3 linked regions of the Sus scrofa genome follow. The protein of the gene in region 2 purifies or fractionates together with the protein of the main gene of each other region. This does not show direct contact. Links are inferred from orthologs where the notes say so. Each region holds a gene or a part of one and is shown on either strand. Other genes may lie near its edges.

Region 1 (4,158 bases), on a different chromosome or scaffold from region 2:
TACACGTGCACGTGCAAACAAGCAGGAAAGGAGCCAGAGGAAGGCTGTAGCCAGGAGGCTCGGAGCCTGTAAAACTCACAGGAAATCATTCGCAGGTACTTGGGAATTGTCTCTATTCAGAATCTTAAACAACCACACACTAATTGGAGTTTTAAAAGCCAAATATCCCCCAAAAGATGCATTATCTTTTCTTTGACCCATTCTGCAAAGATGAAAAAAGAAGCGACTTGCCAAAAATCTGTACTTTTGCATCTCTTTCAGACAACCTCAGCAGTTAAAAAATACGTATTTTGAATCAGAGCACCACTTGCAACTATATAAAAAGAAAGAAAACATTCCTAGTGGGTTATAAACGCACAAGCAGTATGGACAATATTTACCTTACAGTGAGCTGGACCTTGCTCACGCAAAAGCTTATACTCAGGCTGAATCTTGTTGAAACGGGCTAACTCATTCACAAGACACATTGGGGTTTTCTCTTTGGGGTGTGCCATATTAGAAGGAACTGAAAAATAATGTAAGAGCATTGAAGTCAACTAGTAGCATATAAGACTGTGGCTCTACCAGGGATATGAAAAATGAAGGTCTAAGGATTCAGAGCAGCCGTGATGCAAAACTGCAAACCACACTGGGGGCACAGTCTGAAGACACAGCCAGATCTTTTCTGAACCAGTTGAAGCCCGGTAACCTAGGAGAGGGTGTGTCTTCAAAAGAGAGAGAACAGAAGTCAGAGGAATAACTAAATTATGGCAGGCACGCAAGATTTGAAATCAGATGAAGCACTGCTATTATACACAAAGGAATAACCAGGAGATCTTTTGAGCAGAGACACACACACACTGGTTACCACAACAGCTGTCAACTGTACCCTGTTCGTTATTTCACAAAACGCAACATGCCAATACCATTTCTCAAACAACGACTGTCGTTTTCCACACAGCTAACTTCTCATTCTTGGTACGTCCTCTAGTCTTATCACCAGAGGCTGCCATCCTCAGGCTTTATCTATTTCTGACAATTATACAAGAAAAATAAAATGGCTTTGGCAGACAGGACTTTTATAAAATTAACAAAATGTGGATATAAGAACACATGAGAAGAAACAGCAATAAATCCCAGAGGACTGAAATAGTCTGTGCCATTTCCTATTAAGATGGCATTCAAATGGCAAATCTGGGGAACACTGACTCTTTAGGGGACTATAACAAGGTAAGAATGCTATTTGGTGAGCCAGTCCAAGGAAGTCTAGAGGTAGCATGATAGATGCCATGCAGATGAGAGTGGGACAAGGTAACGCTCTAAGAACAGATTTAAAAAGTAAAGAAAATGAGAGGATGAAGGAGGAAATGCAAGCGAAACTGTCAAGCATATTGAGTTGAAAAGAATTTGTTAGAAGGTGACTCTAATATAGAGACACCCATGCTGATACCCCATTTAATTGGTGTTGCAACTTCGGCGGAGGCAGGGGAGGTTTGGGAAGCAGAATATTGTTTTCAGGAGGTTCTTTTTTCAGAGGTGTCATATCCTTTCTGATGAGTGAGAGTATTTAGTTCGGTTTAATTTCCTAATATTCAAATATGACTGCTTCTCAACTTATTTCCTTTCAAAAAAAAAAAATCTCTGCTTCTTGGGAGTTCCTTGGTGGTCCAGTGATTGGGATTTGGTGCTTCCACTGCTACGGCCTGGGTTTAATCCCTGCTCTGGGAACTGAGATCCCACATCAAGCAGCTGCATGCTCCAGCCAAAACCAAAAAAACCAAAAAACTCTGCTTCTTTGTTCCATTTCTAATTGGTCCACACTATGATTTCGTAACTACCTCTGGAACCTCAACTTAAACTTACTTTTTCAAAATAAATATTAATGAATGGTAACACACTTTTGCTTTCCAGTAAATCTGGCTGCTCCCATGCTTGGGATAAATCTTATATATATCCAAAAAGGAGGCTTACACCTACAAGTCAGTTCTGGGAAATAAATTTTTTTTTTTTTTTTTTTTTTTAGGGCTGCACTTGCGGCATATGGAAGTTCCAGGCTAAGGGTCAAATCGGAGCTGTAGCTGCAAGCCTATACCACAGCCACAGCAACGCCAGATCCAAGCCACATCTGCAACCTACACCACAGCTCACAGCAATGCCAGATCCTTAACCCACTGAGCGAGGTCGGGGATCAAACCCGTGTCCTCACAGATATTAGTTGGATTTGTTATCGAGAGCCACAACAGGGAACTCCTCTGGGAAATAACTTTAAAAGCAGAAATTTTCCCATATAGTAATGAATATCCAAAGTAGTATTTATTATTCAATTCTTTCTGCCATCCACCACTTTATAACACAGTAAACTTTATAGTTTAGTTTCCAATTTTCTTTCTCACACTTCAAAATGGTCTGTCCAAGGCCTCCATCAACCCAATATACAAACAAGTGTTTCATATCTGGGATAAAGAAGTGTGGGCAGTAATACTTTCTTCTGCTTCCTGAAGATAAATGTGTGAGAGCTCCCTACATCTGCAATCTACTTATCAGATCAGAACACAGGCTAAGAAAACATTTGAAACAGAAGACACTTGGAGTCATACGCTTACCTGCAGCTGCACTGGTGGATGTAATAGATGCAGAGGGTAAAGCAGAGTTTTGGATAGGTCTACCTGCATTTTCAGAGGGCAGAGAGCTAGTAGTAGAAGGAATACTCATCAAAGGCTGTGAGAGAAGAGACTGGTTCTTGTTCAGTATTTGGCTCCCTGAGAGAGCAGCAGATGGGTTCTGAACTTGCACTTGAACTTGAGACATGGTCACTTTCAAAAAAGTGAACAACTGCAGGTAAACAGCTTTCAGTGCAGGTTAATTCAGTGCTATGAAGTCTAAAGTTCTACCTGAAAGTTGTAGGGAAAGAAAATAAAAAGATAAATTATAGAGGAGATACGTAATTGCCAATATTCAGTCAAAACTGGTGTCACCTACTCAAGTATGAAAATAGCCCCGTTTAGTAGGTAGCTATGTTGATGTATTAGAAATGTGTTTCTCCTTGTTATATGGTAGGTTCACTAGCCTTATGACTTTCTCATAGTGTTTTTAAACAACTTATAATACCCACACGCTCTGCATGTTTATTTTACAAAGAGAACCAGCAGGGTATAATATTTATTGTTGAATATTAAGAATCATAAACCACAGCTTATATTCAAAAATGCAAATTTAAAAATATGAATAAGTTTTCTATTATATATGCAATACAGTAAAGGTTTCTGATCTCAAAATGATAAGAAGCTGAAAGCAAAATGGATTGGTAACACCATTAACAGGTGATTAAATACTGCTTCCATTTTAGGGCCAACTACTTAGGCTGGCACCCTGAGAGCTTTCCTTTAAGTTGACTGAAGAAAGAGAGGAATTCCTCACGTTTGCTGTTTCTTTTTCCTTATGATGATAAAGATCTCTTTGTTTTCACGAGAGGTTTGTTTGAGATGGTCATATTTATTTATAGGCCCCAAACAAGAACTGAGGCACCCACATCAATGCTCATGACCCTGAGAAATTATCTGAATAGGAAAGAACATTCTATAGTATTTGTACTATTAAAAGCAAAAGTGGAGAGGATGAAGAAGAGAGGAAAAGATTTCAGACTGGCAATTTTTCTACTGGTAGCGGGTAGAGCCTGAGGAACAGAGGAGACTGTTTACAGCATCTTCCAAAGGCCTTGCATCTAAAGACATTTAAATTTATTCATGAGTCAAAAATAAGGGCAGTTCTGCATATTTTCATGGCCATCCTTCGAAAAGCTGAAAATGTTTAAGTCAAAAGTACTAAAAAATAACAAGCAACAAAGAACAGAAAAAGCCAACCAAGCAGAAAGCAGCAAACTAACACATCTATTACAGGGTAATTTTTGTTACTTTAACTTTTTTTTAAGTCTCAAAATGATTTTTAATTAAAGCTGAACCTCTAGAAAGACATGAATGACCAGAGCCATTAAGTTACTTGAGAAGTCCTGGCACATTCTCTCTTGCTGAGAAAAAAAAGAACCATAAAACTCAAAACAAGACAAACAAAAGTCTTAAAATATGACTTTGGTTAGTAGAAGCATAAACTTTACCTTATACCACAAAATTCCCCAATACTGTAGTTGTTCACTGTTTACATCTGGAATCAGAACAAAATAAC
Region 2 (4,316 bases):
CTTCTGCTGGAACAAGGGAAAGTTAACACCTGGACAGAGAAACTGGAAGGCTCAGGGAATAGGACATCCCCTCCAGCACACACATCTTTTTCTGCAGTGGCACTAATGCCCTCTTGGCTTAGATAATTCTTTGTTTGGGGTTGGAAGGGAGGGTCTGTCTTGTGCACTGTAGAATGCTTAGAGGTGACCCTGAGCTCTACCCAAAAACATTAGCCCCCAAACACCTCCAGGCGCTGCCAAATGGGGGAACAAAACCACCCTCAGTTGAGACACACTGCCCTTTGGTAACTGGCCATACTTTTTTTCAGATACGACACATTAAAAAAATTTTCCCACCCGCCAAAATAAATATATTTCCCACCTGTCTTCTAAACAGCCTTTCACACAAGATACATGGGCTTTAAAGATCCCTATACCTCAAACCCAAATATGTTCTGTTTCCAAGGCCAGGGAAAGGCACACTCACGTGTTGGCAAAATCTTTAGGATTACCACCAGGTCAGCCACATTGTGTCCTGTAGTCATCGTTCCCTTTTTATATGATCCAACTTGTCGGACTTCTTCGATTTGCTGTTGGAGAGAGAATTTCAGAAGAAAAACCTTAGAGCCAAGCAAGGCAACTTCCACACTACCAAGGCCACCCTTCCCTAGGACTAAATCATCAAAACCTCACCACTTCAAATGTCCCTGGAGCCACGATCAAGTTGTCAATCACATTATTTATTTTTGTCACCAAAGAAAGGATAGAGGCCTGAAAACAGCAGGAAACAAAAATACCATAAAGGTGAAACATGATAAGCAACTTCTCATCAAGTTTGAATGTTTTCCCCTAATCCCTGCAATACAGGCTCAATCAGTACCTACAACGGACTCTGAAAACACTCTGGACCCTTCTGGCTTTGAATATGCCAGAAGAGAAAACTTTGATCCAAAGATAGATGCCCCAGTAAAAATATAAATGCACACATAATTTGTTTATATCATCCCTGGTGCTCTCCCTCCACCCACAGTGAGAAATAAGGAGAACAATTAAACCCTCTGGGGAGGGCAGGCTCTGATAAGTGTAACGGCACCAGTAGTTATTTACTTCTCTACTTCATTCGTGAAATCTCAGGAGGAAAACTAACAGAATATACCTGCTCAGCTGAATTAGGAGCCAGGTCCTGATTCCTCTTCAGTAAGGCCTCACTGAAGGAAGTTTCATCAGGTGCTGGCTTGACCCGAGGAAAGGCCATTTCACACTAAACCAGAAATAAACAATTTTATACTACCCACCAAAAATAACATAAAATAAAGATTGTTTTTTCCTGTTGCCACAAAACAAAAAAAAGTTGAAAAGAGAAAATTCTAAAACACTTATTTTTAACTCCATAAAATATTTAAACAAGCATAGAAACTAGAAGAGCCATAATTTAAGCTCTCACTACCGTTACATTAACAGATAAACCAAAGATACAATTAACTGTTCAAAACAAAGATTCTAATCCTGTTACTACCAACTGTAGTCAAGGAACTATGTTCCCCACCCAGTTTACACTGCTTTTGTATGTAAAGCAATACAGGCTGACTCAAAACCCAATCCCACTCACTAACCCCCTTTCCTACTCCAACCACCATTTGACTTTATTAACAGGGAGACCCTAGGCTCCAGGAAACAAGTGAACTGCGGTCAAGGTACTCACCAAATAGAAATCAAATGGGATATGTGGCACAAACGGCCTGAACCTAAAAAATGAAAAACAAGTCAAATTATTCACCACAGAAATCAAGTGGTTTTAGCATAAAGGGGCCAGAACTCTCATTTAGGAGAGCACGGAAAGAATGCTTCTAAACCACAGCTGGAGCTCACAAAAGCAGGTAAGATTAGTCCGCTCCAAACACCCCATTTAGGTGACTGAAATGGAAACTAAGTGTGCAGAGATGCTAAAAACTGGCACTCACCCTCCTCCTGGGCCTCCTCTGGAACCAAAGCGCCCGCCACGACCACGGCCTCTGTCCCCCCTAGAAATGCATAAATACATTTTTAACTTGGTTCTCACCGCGTTGAAACGACCTCCACCATACCGGCCATATGATTTCAAGTTCGCTTACCGCCATCTCCGTGAACTTCCGTTTGGAAGCTAAGAGATCCCATTCCCACTGACAACACTTGCTCTCCATCCGTCCCAAGCGCCCAGCCTCAACCCCCAAGACCGCCTCCTTCTGGGTAATTTAATCACATCAAATACTGACGAGGTTCAGTGAGCCCTACAAGAAATGCCCCATAATTCCCGGGGCGCGCCAGCCCTAATACTTCAGAGACTAACGAGATTGCTCATTTATTCGTAACTAGTAAAAGCATCTAACGGCAACCCTATACGTCAAGCACTTAGCCTGGAGTATGAACGAGGCACGTTCAAGCCTTCTCAGTCTAGATGGTGGTCGGGGTGGGGAGGTGGTCCTCCTGGGAGGTGAGGACAGCCCCTCATCTAACCGCCCCCGCTCCCGCTTCCCCTTGCCTGGGCCCCACCCCCATCCCTGGCCCACGTTTCCCCGCCTCCGCGGCCCCCGACTTCCCCCACGCTCCCAAGCGGGAGTTCTCAGATTTCCGTGCAGCCCCCAGATACACGGCCCTTCAAGACCTCCGAGTCCTTTCAGCCCGCGTACCCAAAGTTTTTGGTCGAATACTCGAAACCCTTCCAGAGCACCCCACGACCCTTACCTCATGGCGTCCCAAAGTCCGAACAATGGAGGCCACACCAACCGCCCCTTTCCTCCGAGAAGCCCTCAACTGGAGAGGCGGCTTGCCGGCGTATGCCAACAAACCCCGGCGTGATTGGCTCCCGCCGTTCTGCACCACTTATGCCTATTGGTTCACTTCAGCAAACCGGGTTTATGAACCAATAAAAAGCCCCTACTATGTCAGGGACCAGCCAATAAGAAAGGACTTGACAGGAAAGACTTTTTTTTACGGACACCAGGGGGCATGGTGTAGAGCAATCAGGTTGGCTAACACTCAGAGAACTTTCTATACGATTTTTGAAAAATATCTTGCCGAGCTAGCAGAGTGGCGCAGCGGAAGCGTGCTGGGCCCATAACCCAGAGGTCGATGGATCGAAACCATCCTCTGCTAGGAGAGCTTTTCTTTCTTTTCCCCCCTCCTTCCCACTCCAGGACAGAAACTCTTGTTTTTCTAGTAGATGTAAATACCGCACTCCTATGTTTTCCTCCTTAGAAGCTAATTTTTGCCAAAAGCAGGCAAATGGCGCAAGCAGGCGAAATGGAATAGGAAGGGACTTAGGCAACTATGACTACACGTCTGGATGTAGTTCACAGAGACTAGAAACTTGAGGCAGGAGAAGCGGATTTGAATATAATAATTGAATCGGAGAGGAGAAATACTGATGTGGAGGGGCTAGAAGGCAAACTGAGACAGCCTCAGGAAAGAGAGTTCAGATGAAGAGAACAACGGAAATGACTGGAGAAAAAGACCAGACCCATCCCTCTTGCCCAGTATCCCCTCATTTCTCCTTTCCTCACTCGGCAACCTCCCTGGTGGATTTTACTCTTAAACGAAGCTTCACAGCCACATATAAGGATAAACTGCTGTTGCATTTAAATCAATCATATTACAAGTTGCTCTTTGTCCTGTTTCTCCCTCTTCTTGCCTTCTTTTTCACTGACTAATATTTATTATTCCTTCCCTGCCTCTGTCAATAGAAAGTTACGCACTTTTTCTGCTCCCTCAGTGGTTACCCTAAAAATTTCGTGCCTCCTTGAAAGGGCAGAGTCTAATTTTACCCTCCTCGTGAAAAATGCAGGAGTAATTTAATTCAATTTACCACACTGACTCTAGAATTATATATACTATTGTGTAACTTTTAAGTATTACATTGACGTATTATTTACTACAGCAAAATGCACAGATCTTAAATCTACAGCTCCAATATTTTTGAATAATGTATTCTGCCCTTGTAATCACCGCATAGATTAACATAAAGAATATTTTTAGCACCTGACAAATTTGGCTTATACGCCTTTGCTCTCCCCCTGGAGGCAAACACTATTCCAATTTCTCTTATTGTAGATTGGTTTCGTCTGCTCTTCACATAAATGGACTCACAGCCTATGTGTTCTTTTTCCTCTGGCTTCTTTTGCTTGGCACATTTCAAAATTTTTCCATGTTTCTGCATTTATCAGCAATTTGTTCCTTTTTACTTGTTTATTTATTTTAGCCCCACAGGGCATGCGGAAGTTCCCAGGCCAGGGATTAAACCCAAGCCGCAGCAGTGACGAGACTGACAGGAGTGTCAATGTGGGATCCTTAACCACTCCTCC
Region 3 (4,280 bases), on a different chromosome or scaffold from region 2:
GCCTGGGAACCTCCATATGCTGCGGGAAGCAGCCCTAGAAAAGGCAAAAAGACAGAAAAAAAAAAAGAAGGTGCCAGAAATGAGATTATGTTAATTTTGAAAGCTTCCTTTATTTCAGGGAAAAAAACATAAATGATGTTTAAAGGTCTTATTCTGTCATTAAAATTCATCCTCAATCTGGTTTTGGTTCTTTGTTTTGTTTTTTGGCCACTCTGCTGGCATTTGGAGTTCCCGGGCCAGGGATCAGATCTGAGCAGCAGTTGTGACTGTATAGCTATGGCAATGCCAGATCCTTTAACCCACTGTGCTAGGCCAGACATCCTAAGTCCTGGTGTTGCAGAAATGCCACCAATCCCATTTCACAGCGGGAACTCCTCCATATTTGTTTTCACTGGAAGGTTGATTAAAAACTGTAACACAAAGTCATAGCCATCTCTATTTACCTGAAGCCTTTCTGGTTCTGTTCAATCTATATGCAGGATTCTGAAGTAAGCAAAAGGTCAAAAAAAGTATAATTCTAATGGACATTAATAATGAAAATCTCACTTGGAACAATCACATGAAAGGCAGAAAGTAAATGTATGTGTATGCTTACATCCACAAAAATTAGATATAACACTACCATAAACTCCCAATTACCCACACCCATTTCAATAATTATCAACAAATGATCAATTTTGTTTCATACACTCTATTCCTCCACCCCCACTAGATTATTTAAAAGCAAATCACAAACCTCATTTGTACCCGTAAAATCTTCAGTATCGATTTTTATTAAAGTAGATATTTTAGCTGAATTTCTCAGTTTTGTATATGCCTTTTTTTTTTTTTTTTTTTTTTTTTTTTTTAGGGCATATGGAAGTTCCCAAGCTGGGGGTCAAATCAGAGCTTCAGCTGCTGGCCTATGCCACAACCACAGCAACTTGGGATCTGAGCTGTGTCTGCAACCTACACCACAGTTCATGGTAACACCAGAACCTCAACCCACTGATTGAGGCCAGGGATTGAACATGCATCCTCATGGATACTAGTCAGATTTGTTTCTGCTGCACCACAACTGGAACTCACTGCATGTCTTTTTATATATAGTTTGTTCAAAACAAAACCCAAATAATGCCTCTTAAATCTTGGAAAGTTCAGCAGTCTCCTCACCCCCAGTTCTCCTTTACTTGACATTTGTTGATGAAATTAGGTCATTTGTCCCACAGAATTTTCCATATTCTGTATTTGGCAGGTTGTATCCTCTTGGTACCATTTAATATGTTCTATTCCTTGTTTAAACTGGTGTAACATAAAAGCTTGACCAGATTCAGATTCAATTATTTTGTCAAGAATACTTAATAGGTGGTGTTGTATCAAATATATTTTTGGCAGCATAACTGGTTTGGACTCTAACATACTGCTTCCCACAGGTCTCTGCTGAGTTTCAATTTACTACCAATCTTCTCCTATTGTAGAGACAGATTTTTAGCCCCCATTTGTGGAAGCACTGTCATCTACTAAAACTCAACCAGAGTTTATTATCACCTTTAAGTTTATATTATTCTTTCCTTTGCTGAGAAGTCAAATGAGTACTCTACACTGTCATCTATTACAAAAATTCCTTTATTTGCCTTATAAGTTTTAATTGGTAAACTATTCAATTGGGTGACTCAATTCAATAGATATTTTCTTGTGTCTGGGAAGAGTTCAGTGAGAAAATTTTGGATTTAACAAAAGAAGGCCTTGGCGTTCCCGTTGTGGCTCTGCGGTAATGAATCCGACTAGTATCCATGAAGATATGAGTTTGATTCTGGCCCTGCTCAGTGGGTTGCTGTAGCTGTGGCGGAGGCCAACAGCTGCAGCTCTGATTCAACCTCGAGCCTGGAAATTTCCATATTCCTAAAAAGTCCAAAAAAAAAAAAGCCTTATATTAAGTACACAAGTACATCATGTCTTGCACTGAAAATGTTAACAGGCCTTCTAGTTAACAATACCAGTAGTTTGCAATAGGAGTCAGTAGGATGTCCTAGTGCAATGCCTGTATTTTGTAGACAACTGGTAACCACTGGGGTATTGAGTGGGGGAGTAATACGGTTAAGATGTGTTTTAATGTAAATCAACTATACTTCAATAAAACTTTTTAAAACGTGTTTTAAAGCAATATGTTTGAGGCAATATTTAAAGTTCAAGACAAGAAGAGCAGGGACTGGGTATTCGAAAGTAATCTGATATTGGATTATTTCGATGCAGCTCAGAACCACCTCAATGGACAAGAACCTCCTGTGTTGTACTGGAAAATGCTTAATATGCTTTCTAGCAACGGATTTCAACTGCACAAAGCATTATCACATACGAACACCAATTAAAATGTTGCCTACACAGGCAGAAAGCAAACGCCCCCGAGTCTCTTTCCTAACGACATGGCCTTACACTGCCCTCACACCAACCTCACTGGGTAAGCACGGCAGGTACTGTATTAGACAATCATTAACAACAAGACTGACGGCCAGCAGGGATGGCAGGTCCGACCCAGCACTCACCGGTTTGGATAGTTACATAACTAACACCTAGAATTTCGGGCTTCCTCCCGCCCCCGGGCTGCGCTCATGTGGCGAGCCTCACGACCGGAAACAGCACCCAAGAGAACCGCGGCGGTTGACGAATCCGGGGAAGAGTTCCAGCGCGGGAAGGGGGGTGAGCGGTCACCGTGGACCTTACGTAAGGCGCCCAAGCGCGCGGCAGGAACTAGAGAGTGGCCGGCGGAAAGAGGTGGGTACCGATGGCCCTACGCCCCCTCTGATTGGCAGGAAGGATGACGAGCGCGTTTACAGGACGCCCTGCGGCAGTGGGAATGTGCGTCAGCTCTGCGCAATCTGGGAGGGAGAAGGGGCGTGTCTGGCGGCTCAGGGGGCCCGCCGATTGGCTGGAAGGCGCCGGCGCCGGGAAGGTCGGGCCCCGGGAAGGAGGGCGGTGCCGTCTGCCTGGTCCCAGAGGCGCACCGGCTTCGGTAAGATGTTTGTGGCAGCTCGGACAGGCCAGAGAACCTTGAGAAAGGTGGTCTCGGGATGCCGTCCAAAATCGGCGACAGCGACCGGAGTCCCGGCTCCTGCGCAGGGGCCTCCGCGGAACATCAGGTAATGAACAATGGGTTCGCCGCATTGGGGGTAGTTTTCCGCCCAGCCTTGCCGAGCAAAGGGACCGGGGTCATTTGGGGTGAAATAGGCGAGCCCGATGAGTTTCCCGGTCTCTGGAGAGAAAGGGTAGGTCTGCTGCCTTTGGGGCCGCGCGCATTCCCCGCCCGCCCCCCCGCGTTGGGCTGAGGCTCGCTGGCCTGTTCCGGATGCCCCGTCTGTTTGTAGTTCGTTGCCCTCGCGAGAGGCGGTGAATCATCCGCCTAGCGACTTTAGAAGCAGCTGATAAAGCAGCTCCGCGGAGGTGCCTTTGGGCTCTTCCGGGCCTACTTATGCTGCTCTCGGAAAGTTAACTGCAGCGCCAGAGTTGCGAGTTGATGGGTTTGTGGGAGTTTGTTGCCTGGCGGTGAGCGTGCCCAATGGCCAGACTTGCTTTCTCAGTTTCTTGTTAACAGTTTTTGCCCCCGGCCTTTGGTGCTTGCTAAACTCAATTGAAGCCGAAATAGGGGACTTGTGGATTTTGTTTTCCGTGCTGTTGGAGCTTAGCGATCCTGTAACACCTTGAGCCAGAATCTGCCTTCACTTTTCCTGGTTGTTGGGTTTTTTTTGTTAGGTGATGGAGGTGGAGACATGAAGGATTCCATACTTAGACCGCGTAGTTTCCATTTATTAATGACATTTTAATACATTATGCTCGAAAATTAAAATTAACGTTTAACATGAATTCCAGTTGTAAACTGTACAGGGTGGAGAGAGAAGGCACAAATTTGGATTCGCTCCAGAACTTTTAGATTCAATAAATTTTTTAAATACCAACAAGCCAAATTAGTAGCTTATTTTATTTCTACTGTTCTGCTTCATTTAGCAGAGTAACTATTACTAATTTTTATTGGTATACTACCACTTTAAAGCAAAGTGTATGAGTTTACTCAGAAAATGTTGTTAGTATTATTACTACCTTTAAAATTCACTGAACATATTTTTAAGGATTTTCAGGAACACATGACACCCTTAGTCTAAGAGATGAATCTACGGGATAAGTTCATTCATACAGTTCATGTATTTGATCCTTTTCCACAGTCATGCAGCATTTAGTTAACCATTTTCATTGACTTATCTTACATTACCTTTGGAAATAAACCCATCTAATTTTTATAAACAGCTTTA

Evidence for each region. The genes of interacting proteins can lie anywhere in the genome.
Region 1: the proteins of ILF2 (region 2) and STAU1 purify together in Homo sapiens (affinity purification with mass spectrometry; 3 studies listed by BioGRID). This does not show direct contact. The link is inferred for Sus scrofa from reciprocal best matches to the Homo sapiens genes ILF2 and STAU1.
Region 3: the proteins of ILF2 (region 2) and SF3B1 fractionate together in Homo sapiens (co-fractionation; 3 studies listed by BioGRID and IntAct, with this or other methods). This does not show direct contact. The link is inferred for Sus scrofa from reciprocal best matches to the Homo sapiens genes ILF2 and SF3B1.

What each region holds. Positions count from the first base shown.
Region 1 is NC_010459.5:50,849,350-50,853,507, forward strand, and holds the start of STAU1 (double-stranded RNA-binding protein Staufen homolog 1), read right to left. Parts: upstream 2,825-4,158; 5' UTR 2,788-2,824; coding exon 2,583-2,787; intron 506-2,582; coding exon 381-505; intron 1-380. UniProt on the Homo sapiens protein: Binds double-stranded RNA (regardless of the sequence) and tubulin.
Region 2 is NC_010446.5:95,979,373-95,983,688, reverse strand, and holds the start of ILF2 (interleukin enhancer-binding factor 2), read right to left. Parts: upstream 2,828-4,316; 5' UTR 2,706-2,827; coding exon 2,701-2,705; intron 2,001-2,700; coding exon 1,941-2,000; intron 1,725-1,940; coding exon 1,682-1,724; intron 1,241-1,681; coding exon 1,136-1,240; intron 751-1,135; coding exon 673-750; intron 570-672; coding exon 467-569; intron 1-466. UniProt on the Homo sapiens protein: Chromatin-interacting protein that forms a stable heterodimer with interleukin enhancer-binding factor 3/ILF3 and plays a role in several biological processes including transcription, innate immunity or cell growth.
Region 3 is NC_010457.5:101,335,195-101,339,474, forward strand, and holds the start of SF3B1 (splicing factor 3B subunit 1), read right to left. Parts: upstream 2,825-4,280; 5' UTR 2,523-2,824; intron 1-2,522. Other genes in the region: COQ10B (coenzyme Q-binding protein COQ10 homolog B, mitochondrial), read left to right, coding at 2,995-3,116. UniProt on the Homo sapiens protein: Component of the 17S U2 SnRNP complex of the spliceosome, a large ribonucleoprotein complex that removes introns from transcribed pre-mRNAs.